Linked DNA regions of Canis lupus familiaris. The protein of the gene in region 1 interacts with the protein of each later gene in a biochemical or structural test. Links are inferred from orthologs where the notes say so. Each region holds a gene or a part of one and is shown in the gene's direction. Other genes may lie near its edges. The genes, in order: GOLGA2, RAB1A and USO1.

Region 1 (3,556 bases):
CTGCAGCACAACAAGGACTTAACCAAAGAGCGAGACACCCTCAAGCTGGAGTTATATAAGAACAAGTAGGACAGCGGGGCTGGCAAGTGGGAGGGCTACAGGGGAAGGGGGGCACCGCATACGGCTTAGAACACGCACAGAGCTGGACTCCAGGCCCAGCTGTGCCGCCAGCACAGGCTGTGGCCTTGGGCCTCGCGGGTCTTCTCTCTGGCCTGCTCGTTGGGCTTCATGTTCCCCGGGGGCCCCTTCCGACCGTTCTGTGGCCCCGTGGCAAGTGTGGTGGGTTGATCACCAGAGTACTCCTTTCTGTTCTGTACTCATACCTACCTTTGCTCTCTCTGGCCATAGCAAAAACAATGAGGACCTGAAGCAGCAGAACTCAGAACTGGAAGAGAAGCTTCAGGTGATGGTGAGAGAGAAGGCAGCCATGCAGCTCGGGATGGAGGAGCTGCAAAAGAAGCTGGAGATGTCGGAGCTCCTGCTGCAGCAGGTGAGGCCGAAGCCCCAGGGAGTCTGGGTCCCATCTGTCTGGGGCCGTGGTCTCCCGGGATTGTGATGGCCAGCCGTTAGCCAGAAGCTGGAATATTTGGGTCCTTGTTCTGGCCCTGCTATAGAATCCTGCTGCAGATGTTGATCAAAATCTACAAATTGGAGCCCTGTGCAGCAATGTGGACTCAGAATCTCAGGGATGGGGCTTTTTAAATTTTTGTTTTTTAAAGCATCTTGGTTGCAAACCATTGTTCTACAGTTGACAGTCACAAGGCTAGCCCATGAGTCCCCATCTGCTTCCTCTTGGAGGTGGGGCCACCAGGTCATCAGGGTACCTGGGCCAAAGAGCTCCCCTCCATCAGTGTTTATTCACACAGCGATAATCTGCCTTCAGGTCACTTCCTTCAGTGGGGTTCTTCCCTCCCAATCAACACAGGAAAAATTTCATCTCTTTCCTGAGACCTTTAGATACTCGGAGGGGGTGTGTTTGTAGATTCCTTGGCCCTCCCTCAGGTTTTCCCAAGCTCCACAGCCCCAGCTGTTTCTCACATGGTCTGTCACCCTCCTGACGGCTTTTTTTCCTGCATGGGACCAATTGGTTAAGGCTCCTCTTCTGGTCAATCCCCCCAGAGTGAAACATGAGTCTCCAAATTTGGTCTGTCCTGGGCAGCAGGTAGGGCTCTCTACCCATCTCCCTCACCATCTCCCCATCCATTCAGCAGGTGTTGACTGAACATGGCCTCCGCCTGTTCCTAGGCTGGGTAGTCTAACAAATAGCCTGGTAGAGAGAGGAAGTGAGGGCTTGAGGTTGCTCTGAAGTTAATGGACACCCGCACTCTGGGACCTGACCACCCCATTTCTGGGACCAGGGCCAGTTTGTAGCCACCCTCACTATAGCCAGTAAAGAACCTGGAAGAGAATACACACCAGGTTGGCAGGACTGGGAGCTAGAGGAGCACTTACAATGAGTATTTAGTTAACAGAAAGCCTGTGGACCCAATACTAACGTAATGTAAAGGTAGAGATCTGTATCAATGCCAAATTGTACGTTATCCCAGCTCAGATCCTTTTGGGGTGGGGTGCATTACTGCAACAGCCTGGGCTCCCCACATCTAACCTTCTCCTTTTCCATTCTCCAGTTTTCTAGTCAATCCAAAAGCCCTGACAGCAGCCAGGAGTTACACCAGGCCCTGGAAGAGCGGACACAGCTGGAGGCCCACGTCGGGGAGGTGAGGCCTTGCAGAGAGCAGGGGGTGTGGAAGGATGGCCCTAGGTGCTTAGAAGCTGGTTAGGCCCAGCAGCAGCCCCTGCTAACATCTGTGCCCCTTTTTGTAGCTGAGAGATTTACTAAAGCAACTGCAGCTGGAGAGAGACCAGTATGCAGAGACTCTGAAGGAGGAGAATGCCATTTGGCAGCAGAAGATGCAGCAGATGTCTGAACAGGTGAGATGTGACCTTCAGCGCCCCCACCTTAGGCTGCTTGATCTTTCTGGACATCAGTAAAAGGGGAATCCTATCACTTGGTATGCAGCCAGAGGTGGCTGTGCAATTTTTATAGGTGGGAATAGAGAGGGCAATGGTCTTACTTCCCCCCACCCATGTACCCATCCCCCCTGTGATTTGGGCAGATGCACAGATTGAGGGAAGAGAAGGAGCACAGCATGAGTCAGGTGCAGGAGTTGGAGGCCAACTTGGCTGAACTGAAGAACCAGATAGGTAAGCTGAGGCAGGAGGATCTGGGAGCAGGATTGGTGCCAGAGGGCTGGTGAGGATGCCTTCAAATGCCCTAAGGATGTGGGTGGATGGAAGGGGACTGTGGCCCAGGGAAAGAGGTCCGTACTAGGAGTTGGCCAGGTTGGGCAGTGTGCCCGCTGGCAACCACTCCGAATTGTCCTGAGCATAAAAATATTAAAAACTCTTTTCAAAAGTGTCTTGAAAGAGTGCATATCCCCTGAGGGTGAGGGATTGTGAGCCAGGAAGCCAAGGTTTGGGGCGAGGAGGCCCAGTTAGGAGCTGTGGATCAAGAAGAGGGCTTTTTTGAAGGCACAGAGGTGAGAGGCCCCTAGCGTGTGTCCCCCTCCCCCTGCTCCCCACAGTGGTGCCCCCAGCCCAGGAGCCCCCAGCCAGGCCCTTGGAGGAGGAGCAGCAGCGGCTGCACGCCGAGACTGAACAACTACAGAAGGAGCTGGAGAGCCTGGCCGAGCAGGTGCAGGCCCAAGTGAAAGACAACGAAGGTTTGAGTCGCCTGAACCGGGAGCAGGAGCAGCGGCTGCTGGAGCTGGAGCGGGCAGCCGAGTGCTGGGGGGAGCAGGCAGAGGAACGCAAGCAGATTCTGGAGAGCATGCAGAGCGATCGCACCACCATCAGCCGTGCGCTCTCCCAGAACCGCGAGCTCAAGGAGCAGCTGGTTGAGCTGCAGAACGGCTTCGTCAAGCTGGTGTGTAGCCCTTCTCCTCCTAGCCAAGTCTTTTGGTGCTGGGCAAGACAGTTAACCCCTCTAGGCCTTTGTCTCCCCACGTGTAAAATGGGGGAAGGGTGTATGCACCCAATGTGAAAATGGTGCCCTTGAAGGCACCCTGTGAGCCGGAGAGCCCTGCTGAGATGAGTGGGGCAGAGGTGGTGAGGACACCTGCCTCCACTCTTCCCTGCACTGTGGGAGGTAGACTCCATGTTCTGGGGTGGCCACTGACTCCTCTTCTCTCTCCAGTCCAACGAGAACATGGAGATTACTACCGCACTGCAGTCGGAGCAGCATGTCAAGAAGGAGCTGGCCAAGAAGCTGGGCCAGCTGCAGGAGAAGCTGGGAGAGCTAAAGGAGATGGTAACTTACCCCCCACACCAGCTGAGGAAGCCTGGAGGACAAACCTACCTGCTCGGAGGGTGGGAGGTTGCCCAGGATGGTGCAGCTCCAGCCTGTGGGGGGACACCTGACTCCAGAGTCCTTCCAATCCTGCCTGTGGTGCAGGCCCCTTGTCACTCCCAGCTGTCTGACTCTACAGAGTGGGTATCCCTGGGCTGAAGGTCCTCGTCCTGGCTAGAGAGCTCAGGCCCCTAACGAGGTCAAGAG
Region 2 (4,106 bases), on another chromosome or scaffold:
GATAAACTTTGGACAACCTATTACACTATGCCCTCTGCAGTTAGACAACCCAAGATAATGTGTTAAAGTTTACTGGAGGTTTAAATTCCTGAGCTGATTAAAAGAAGAGTTACGACTATCAATCGGGTCTCAGAAATGTTGTGAATGCCGTTCCCGGAGTCTCTAGGCACCGTGCAGCGATGCGTTAGTTGCACCTTCCCCTCGCTTATCATTCTTCAGTCTTGCAGAGCAGCTCCGCCTTGAGTAGCTAAAATTACAGTTCGGCTTGAAGCCTGGGACCAGGGCGGGAAGACCCTGAATTTCGGGCCGACTCTGGGCTGCACCGCGGCCACGGAGAGGCGCGGCCCCCGCAAAACGGTGGTGGGCTCGGGATGCAGCGCGGTTTCGGGGAGATAATCCGGCTGCGTCGGCCAGCGGCGGGGGCAGAGAGGAGGCCGAGGCTCCCGTCGTCGCCGGGCCGGGTGGTCGGAGCCGGGCTGCACGGGGAGCCGGGGGGCAATGCGACCAAGGAGACGGCACCGTGTGCGGCCAGCGCGGGACCGTGGCCCTGCACGGGGACCTGACCCAGCGGGGCCGGCCGGCTGGGGAACACCACCGAGCTCCGCGCTCTCCGGACCCCCGAGGTTCCCAGTAGGGGCCCCTCAATTCCTCCTCCGTCCTGGGACCAGCTGGGAGCTCGAGCTCTCAGCAAAGCACTGGCCAGGCGCGACCTGCAGCCCGCATTTCCCCCGCGGCCCCGCCCTCCAGCGCCCCGCGGTCGCCGCTGCACCCCCCCCCCCCCCCCGCAGCGCCCGCAGCCCCCGCCCCCGCCCCATCCTCTGTCCGCGGCCGGCGCCGCCCTCCGTCCCTCCCCTCCCCCTCCCCCCTTGGGGCGCCGACGCGCCCTGCTGCCACGTCTCACTGATGACATCACCGGGGCCGCTCGGGCTTAGCCAATCCGCTAGGGGGAGTCCGAGCGAAGTCCTAAGCCAGCGAGTCAGCGGGGCGGGGAGCAGGGAGGGGCAAGACGGGGGGGGGCGGTGAGCGAGTGGGGCATGGGGCGGGCGACAAGCGCTCGAGTGCGCCTGCGCCGGAGGCGCGGGGCTTGGCGGGAAGCTGAGTCGCGGCGGCCGCGCCGCCCCGTAGGCCTTCGGCGCCCGCCGCCGCGTTGGAACTCTCTTTCCCGGCGTGCCGCGCGGTGCGGCCGCCCTCCGGGCCGTGTAAAGACCCCTCGGTCTAAGGCTTTCCTATTTCCTGGTTCGCCGGCGGCCATTTTGGGTGGAAGCGATCGCTGAGTGGCGGCGGCTGCTGATTGTGTTCTAAGGGGACGGAGCAGGGGAAGACGTTTGCTCTCCCGGAACAGCCCGTTCTCGTTCCCGTCCCTCGATTACCCGTGGCGTCGAGAGTCGGGGCGGCGGCTGCGGCAGCAAGGGCGGCGGTGGCGGCGGCGGCGGCTGCAGTGACATGTCCAGCATGAATCCCGAATAGTGAGTGCAGGAGAGCACCGGTCGGCTGGGGCCGTGGGGCAGCCCGGAAAAGCCTAAGGGGGGGAGGCGAGGAGGGCTGAGGCAGAGGCGGGGGCCTCGGCCAGGGCGGGCGGACGGTGGTAGGGCCGGAGATGCCGGGAGCCGGGGCCCATTGTCTGACGGAAGAGGGATCGGCCCGGGGGGGGGGGGCGTCAGGGGGGCCGGGGGGGCCGACGGGGGGGCGCCCGGGCAGGTTGGAGGCCTTGAATGCCGGGCCAGGGCGGAGGAACAGTCTTCGGAGGGGGGGGTGGGGCGGTGGGAAGGGGTAGCTTCACGCCCAGGCAGTGACTTTGGAAGGAAGACTTGTTTTTAGGGTGGGAGGGCTGCCCTAGAGGGCCCTGTCGGGGCCGGCGCCCGCGCCCGCCGAGCTGTCAGAACCGTCGCGGTGGGAAGCCAGCCCCACTTGCAAATCTTGAGCTCGTTGGCTCCGTCCTTTCACCCCTCCCCGGCCAGGTTGCAGGTAACACGGATGCTTTTCAGGACTGCGTGGGATGGAGCGGGGAAATGAGTAGAAGGGGAGAACAGATTTTAAATTTTTAGTGGAGGGGGGGTTTAGGTTATTTCCTGGAGTTTTTTTTGTTTTTGTTTTTTTTCCGAGAAGTCACGACGGGGCCCATTGCCTCCCTAAAAACCTAAGCATTTGTGAGATTTCCTTTTTTTCTTTTTTTTAGAGGGCACTGAAGTCATTTGGTCTTGTGTAAGGTCGAGGAAAAGAATAAAGAGAACTAAGACGTAGGAACGTTTTTTTCTTTTCTTTTTTCTGATACTATCAGATTAAAGGAAGACTGCTGTCAAATTGAAAGAGAGAACGAAGGGGCTCTCTATGTAATCCGTAGGTTTTGGATTACCTGCTTGAATACTCGAAGATAGGGAGTGAGGTTCCATGACGTGTCATGAAAAGTTAATGCATTTCTTTTTCTTGCTCACTCAAGAAGTCCCCGCAGCATATGTGACACACCTGGCACCTTTCCTGGGAACTGGTGTTCACCTTCCTTGGGAAGACTTCGTTGGGTTCTCCTTCATGGCCCTTTAAATTCCTCCTTGGGTTTACCTATATAAATTAACGAATAATTGGCAGACATTTAATTGGTATTCCCCTTCAGCGTCAGAAGGCTTGGGGGGGGGGGGAGGAATTTTTTTTTTTTAAAGGAAAAAATTGGTATTTTAAAAGCTGTGAATGTATTTGCAGCTTTGGTCATTTACTGCTAAACATTTCCCCTAAAGGTCCACCCATCAGTTTAGCTGACTGTCATGTGTGTGTCACATGGCTCTTGCAAAATGCATTCTGACTTCCAAGTTTTGTAATAACAGTGGTTTGAAGCAGAAATGTCCCCTTTTGCACTAAACAGAAGCCGTGGTATTTCACTAAAATTTTATGTTCTTGCAGAAGTTGAGGCTGGTGTTCTCATGGTGCCACATTTGGCCACGGCGGCAGTTTTTAGTTTCTTTATCAAGGGCTCCGAGGACAAAGTGGGTTTTGCATAGTTAGGGAGAATGGAACTTGAGGTACCTAATCTGGTGGTTTTCCTGGCAACAATAAAGTACATGGATCTACCACTTTACGGAGACTTGTAAACCTCCTCTGTTCAGGGAGTTTCTTATATTTGCTAAGTATGTCAAGTAGCATAAGTAGATCTTTACGATTAGTTGGACAGAGCCATGACACATTAGCCTCTGAATTTGTTTCCCCTTTTGTAAAATAGGATAATAGGAGTCATTATTCGTATCAGGGTAGTTGTGAGATTTAAGTGCATGTAAAAGAAAACATAAGAGGACTCTAGGTGGTGTTATGTCATTACCATGTACGGCATCGTAATAGTGCTGGGATTTAGGAATACAATCCTTACCCTCAAGGAGTTTATAATGGAGTATAGAAAACCGTTATATATGTCAAATACCAGTAGATCTAGTTTGTTCCAAATTTACAGGATGGATAGGAGCAACAAGATTTCAAAGGAGGGTGAAGGATTGTGGTTGGCTAGTTGGTTTCAGGAAAATTTTATAGAAAAGAGAATCCTAAGAGAATTATTAACAGATTTAGAGAAGCACTAGGGAGTGAGGAGGATTTTTCAAGGGGGAAGAAGGAAGAATGGTTAATAAATGGCAGTGATAGTAATTCTTCAGTAAATACCGTGCCAAACATCCATTAAATTAATGACGTTAACAGAATCAAACCCAGAAATTATACTTTTTTGCCACCGAGTATATGCCAGTATCAGGTCTACTGTATTTGTATTCTAGACTAGTAACATAGGAGTTTGGAAAAACCTTTGGAAGAGCACTAGTGAGAGGAGGTGATGGGTATTTTATTAGAGGAGGTCACAAGGGCAACCAGCAGGCAGATTTTTAATAATGTGACTTCAGCAGGTTTTTTTTTTTTTTTTGTCTTTAATGAAGTTTGTTACCATCAAAAAGTAATTAGTGGAAAATAGAAGAAAGAAGGAAAGAAATTCTTAGTTTAATTACTGAATACAAGTCCATTTACTTTTAATACCTTGTTCTAAACTTTAAAACCTTGTATTTTTTCTTAAATTAAAACTTTTAGTGGGTGAGTGCCTTTCATAATTCCATGATGTTGTCTTAATACCTAGCATTTATAGC
Region 3 (4,203 bases), on another chromosome or scaffold:
TATGGAGCAGATGGACAACCACGGGAAGATTTTAAGAAGAGTACCTACATGGACAGATGTTTTGTCATTGTTAGGCTCATCCAAGGGTGACTGGACTGGAGGCTGGACTGGACAGAAGCCAGGGCTTGAATGCAGACAAACTAGTTAGGAAGCTACTGCTATAATCTTGGTGAAAAATTATGAGAACATAAACTATGTCAAAGGCAGCAAGGATGAAGAGCATAGGACCTGTTTGAGAAATATTCTATAAATAGAAATTAAAGAGCTTGAATACTGGACAGGTGGGTGAGAAATCCAGAACATAAGATTCCCCCCAGTGTCCTCCTTCTAGTTTAGGCAATTATTTGGCTAGTGGTACTGTTGAGACTGGTAAGGCACAAAGAAGCATAGTGATTTCTCTTTTTTATTTCCCCCCTTTAATGTAGGCTGGGGAAGATGATGAGTTCAATTTTAAATGCTGAATTCGGGACCTGTAGGGGATCCAAGTGAAGAGGTGTATGGATCAGTAGGCTAACTCGACCCTGCGCTCAAGACATTTACAAGGCTACTCCAGAAGCAGGTGTAGCCACCTGGGCAATCTCATTTCCAAAGGGGCAGGGCATACCATTTTGGAAAAAAAAAAAAAAGACATTTTTCATGTTTAAAAAAAAAAAACACTGAAAATGCAGGGGTTGAGAAGTAATAACGAAATATTACGTAATTAGCTGCCAAAATGACACTACAGATCAATGCGTTTTCTCTCATAAACTAAGCGCAGGGCTCGATCGGTTTCAACTTCGCACCATTGGAGAACAGCGGAGTACCTGGTGTTCAGATCCAGGAATCCCTTTTGTAACAGGTCTGGAGAGCAAGGACTGGAAAATGCGCCCTCCGGTGGCAACGGAATGAGGGGGCTCTAGCACCCTTTTTTACCGCTAAACAAAGCCCGGTAAAGAAATGCGATTTACGAGGCTCAGAAGGCCCTAAGGCTCGCATCGCGGGACCGCAAGGCCCAACGAGCCCTCCCAGGGCCGGGCCCCTTACCTGTAACGTCGGCCGAAGGACAATTCCGCTGTCGACCCAACAGAGTAGGACCCCAGATTCGACAGCTGGCGGCGAGGCCCCTTCGGCGACAGCCAAGCTCCCCGCAAGCCAGGACCCGCCACCCGGATCCCCCACGGCTGCGGGGCCGCGCTTGGACCGCGTGGGCGGCGGGGCCGGCGGGACCGACCGGCGGGGGGCGGGGCAGGGGGCGTGTCCGCCCAGGGAGGCGGGGCATGCGCAGTGGGCGGGCTTGGATACGCGCTGCGGGCCCCCCGTCGCCTCCGTCCCCCTTTGGCCTGCGCCCGTCGGGCCGCCACGTAATGCCACGTCCCCGCGCACGCGCACTTAGACTGGCGGCGGCGGCTGTTTCCGGGCTTAGGAGGCTGGAGCGGCCCCTGGGTGGGAGGCGTTGGTGGCCGCGCCGGCGAGTGCGGGGAGCGGGCGTAGGGGCCGGGCCCTGCCGAGGGCAGGGAAAGTCGCCGTTTCTTTCCCGGCGGGGCCTGCGGAGCCGGTGGCTGAGCGAAAGATGAATTTCCTCCGCGGTGTAATGGGCGGTCAGAGCGCCGGGCCCCAGCACACAGAGGCCGAGACGGTGAGAGGAGCGCGATGGGCCCGGGACTGGGGAAGGGTTCGGACGACTCGGGGCCCGGGAGGTGACCTCCGTGCCCCACCACGGGCCGGGAGTCCACGCGCCCGCCTCTCCCTTTGCCTCCCTTTCTCTCCTGGGACCCCCGCGCCACTCCTGACGCCCCCAGCACAGCCCCCTGCGCGGCGTTTCGGCCCGGGTGGCCGCGGCCGCGCCCCGAAGCTCTACAGGGTGGGGGTGGGGGTGGGGGGGCCCGCCCGGGAAGGGCTCGACCCTGGGCGCAGGTGGCTCGACCTGTCTCCGCCCCTCGGGGCCGCGCGGGCCTTTGCCCCCTTCCGCCTGTCTCCAGAGGCCGAGAGGAACCTAAGGTCCTACTCCCTCCGTCGCAGCCTGCAGTGGGTCATGGGGGAAGGTGGCAAGAAGGGTTAAAACCCAGCTGTTGACGAAAGCATGTGGCTAAGAATGAAATGATAGTTTGGGGGCACGAAGCCACCTGCTCCCGTCCCTTCAACTGGAGGAAAATCGTTCTGCCAGGTGTCACCAGTTCAGGCCTCGTTTTTCGGGCTCCCCCAGCTATACTCGCTTGGACTTGGAGGTCTGTTTCGCGCTCAAACTGCTTTGGGACTCATCCCTAACTTTCCCTTCTACTCACCCGATTCAGAAGTCTGAACCCTTCCTCGGTAACACGATTTGCAGCGTCACGTTAAAAACCTGTTCGCCACGGAAAACAGTATTTGATAGTTGGTTCAGCGTTTAGGTTTAAGATAAATTTATTTTGAAGTTCGGTTAGTTTCTATTAGAAATGAGTGCATGTGACATTTTAAAAATAAGCTAATTGAGAATGATTTCAGATATACAGGAAAGTGACCAAGCATGACATTTTAAAGGTAAACTTTGGGGAGTAGTCATAGACATAATTGGGATGTCTGTGAACATAGATCCTACGTTCTGTGTTACTGGGATTTTGAAAGATAATAATAGCTTTCATTTGTCAAGCTCTTATCTTGAAGTAGGTACTATGCTGAGTTCTTTATAGTGCACATTCTCCATTAATCTAACCACCCTGCCAGATAGATGGTAGTATCTTCACTTTACAAATGAAGAAATGTGGTTTAGAGAGGTGAAGTGACTTGACCAATGTCACGCTACTAGTAGTAGCAAAGCCAGGATTCAAATATGGTTTCCCTTCTTAGCCTAGGTCTTCTTGCTGATGCTCATATTTTAATACTTACCCGGGAATTTTGGAAAATTACAAGTATCAAAATCAACCTCACAGATCTGAATTAGAACTGTTTACAGCAGAAGTTGAAAGCTGATGAATCTCTCTTCCTTTATTTGAAAATTGGGAGATTTCATGTCCATGTCCACACACACACACACACAGACATACACGACTGATATTTGGCTTCTTTCGTCTGCTTCCACATGGCTACAAGGCACCCGAGCTGCCTTGTTATAAGACTGTTGCTCTCTCCAGATCACCAGAGTCACAGCCCACCTCTTCAGCTTTTGTTCATTTATTTTATTTCTGATATTTTCCGTTTGATGCATCAAGTATAGTATATTAGAGCTCGCTTTGGATTTAGGCTTTAATTTGAATCCTTGTCTTCCACCTCTAATTTGATTGGACCTGGCAAGAGATGGATAATACCCTGTGAGTAAAGTAAGGGAACCACTTGCTTTTATGGGTGTAAATAAGGATTAAGTGAAATAAGAAGTAGAGCCTGGCACTTAGTATGTGCTCAGTAAAGGGTAGTTTTTAATAAAAAAAAAAATGTAATACATGATTTTAGAGGAAGACTATCTTTTTCTTTTTTTTTTTTTTAATAGTTGGCCTTGTCACAACGACTTCTGTAGAAAAGATGGTATATAATTGAATATAGGATTTTAAAGCTGGAAGGTCCTTTGCAGATCATCCAGGTTGAACCCCCCCCCCACCTCGTTTTACGTTAGGAAACTAAGGCACAAAGCACTGAAGCGACTTGCACAGTATTACAGAGCTGAGACTAGAATACTGATCTTGCCATAGTGAGTGAAACAACATAAATTTTACATTGTGATTTCTCTTTTTTCTTAAGATTTTATTTTTAGGGCAGCCCCCGTGGCTCAGCGGTTTAGTGCCCCTTCAGCCCAGGGCCTGATCCTGGGGACCTGGGATCGAGTCCCACGTCTGGCTCCCTGCATGGAGCCTGCTTCTCCCTCTGCCTGTGTCTCTCTGCCTCTCTCTGTGTGTGTCTGACATGAATAAATAAAAATAAAATCTTTTATTTTATTTATTTTATTTTATTATTTATTTATTTATTTATTTGAGACACAGAGAGAGGCCGGGACCCGGGATCTCACCCTGAGCTGAAGGCAGAGGCTTAACTGCTGAGCCACCCAGGCATCCCTACATTGTGATTTCAAAATGAAGCTTGATTATCACTCGTGTATGTTGTTTGTGTAAAGTGAAAGGAAAGTGAGGATCCTTGTTCTTACTTTGAGGAGTATACTCAAAATTGGAAAAGTAATTTGTCTTATGAAGAGAATTAATAGTTTATTCCAAGTTGCAGTATGGATAAAATGTTTCACCATCTTGTTCCATTGGGAAATAT

What was found.
Region 2: the proteins of GOLGA2 (region 1) and RAB1A form a complex in vitro, tested with the Homo sapiens proteins (2 studies listed by BioGRID). The link is inferred for Canis lupus familiaris from reciprocal best matches to the Homo sapiens genes GOLGA2 and RAB1A.
Region 3: the proteins of GOLGA2 (region 1) and USO1 form a complex in vitro, tested with the Homo sapiens proteins (2 studies listed by BioGRID). The link is inferred for Canis lupus familiaris from reciprocal best matches to the Homo sapiens genes GOLGA2 and USO1.

Annotation. Positions count from the first base shown.
Region 1 is NC_049230.1:55,332,879-55,336,434, forward strand, and holds part of GOLGA2 (golgin subfamily A member 2), read left to right. Parts: intron 1-6; coding exon 7-65; intron 66-327; exon of another isoform or gene 328-348; coding exon 349-490; exon of another isoform or gene 491-1,628; coding exon 1,629-1,718; exon of another isoform or gene 1,719-1,824; coding exon 1,825-1,932; exon of another isoform or gene 1,933-2,117; coding exon 2,118-2,205; exon of another isoform or gene 2,206-2,568; intron 2,569-2,585; coding exon 2,586-2,926; intron 2,927-3,196; coding exon 3,197-3,310; intron 3,311-3,556. UniProt on the Homo sapiens protein: Peripheral membrane component of the cis-Golgi stack that acts as a membrane skeleton that maintains the structure of the Golgi apparatus, and as a vesicle thether that facilitates vesicle fusion to the Golgi membrane.
Region 2 is NC_049231.1:65,878,045-65,882,150, reverse strand, and holds the start of RAB1A (ras-related protein Rab-1A), read left to right. Parts: upstream 1-1,294; 5' UTR 1,295-1,443; coding exon 1,444-1,466; intron 1,467-4,106. UniProt on the Homo sapiens protein: The small GTPases Rab are key regulators of intracellular membrane trafficking, from the formation of transport vesicles to their fusion with membranes.
Region 3 is NC_049253.1:39,884,659-39,888,861, reverse strand, and holds the start of USO1 (general vesicular transport factor p115), read left to right. Parts: upstream 1-1,367; 5' UTR 1,368-1,549; coding exon 1,550-1,615; intron 1,616-4,203. UniProt on the Homo sapiens protein: General vesicular transport factor required for intercisternal transport in the Golgi stack; it is required for transcytotic fusion and/or subsequent binding of the vesicles to the target membrane.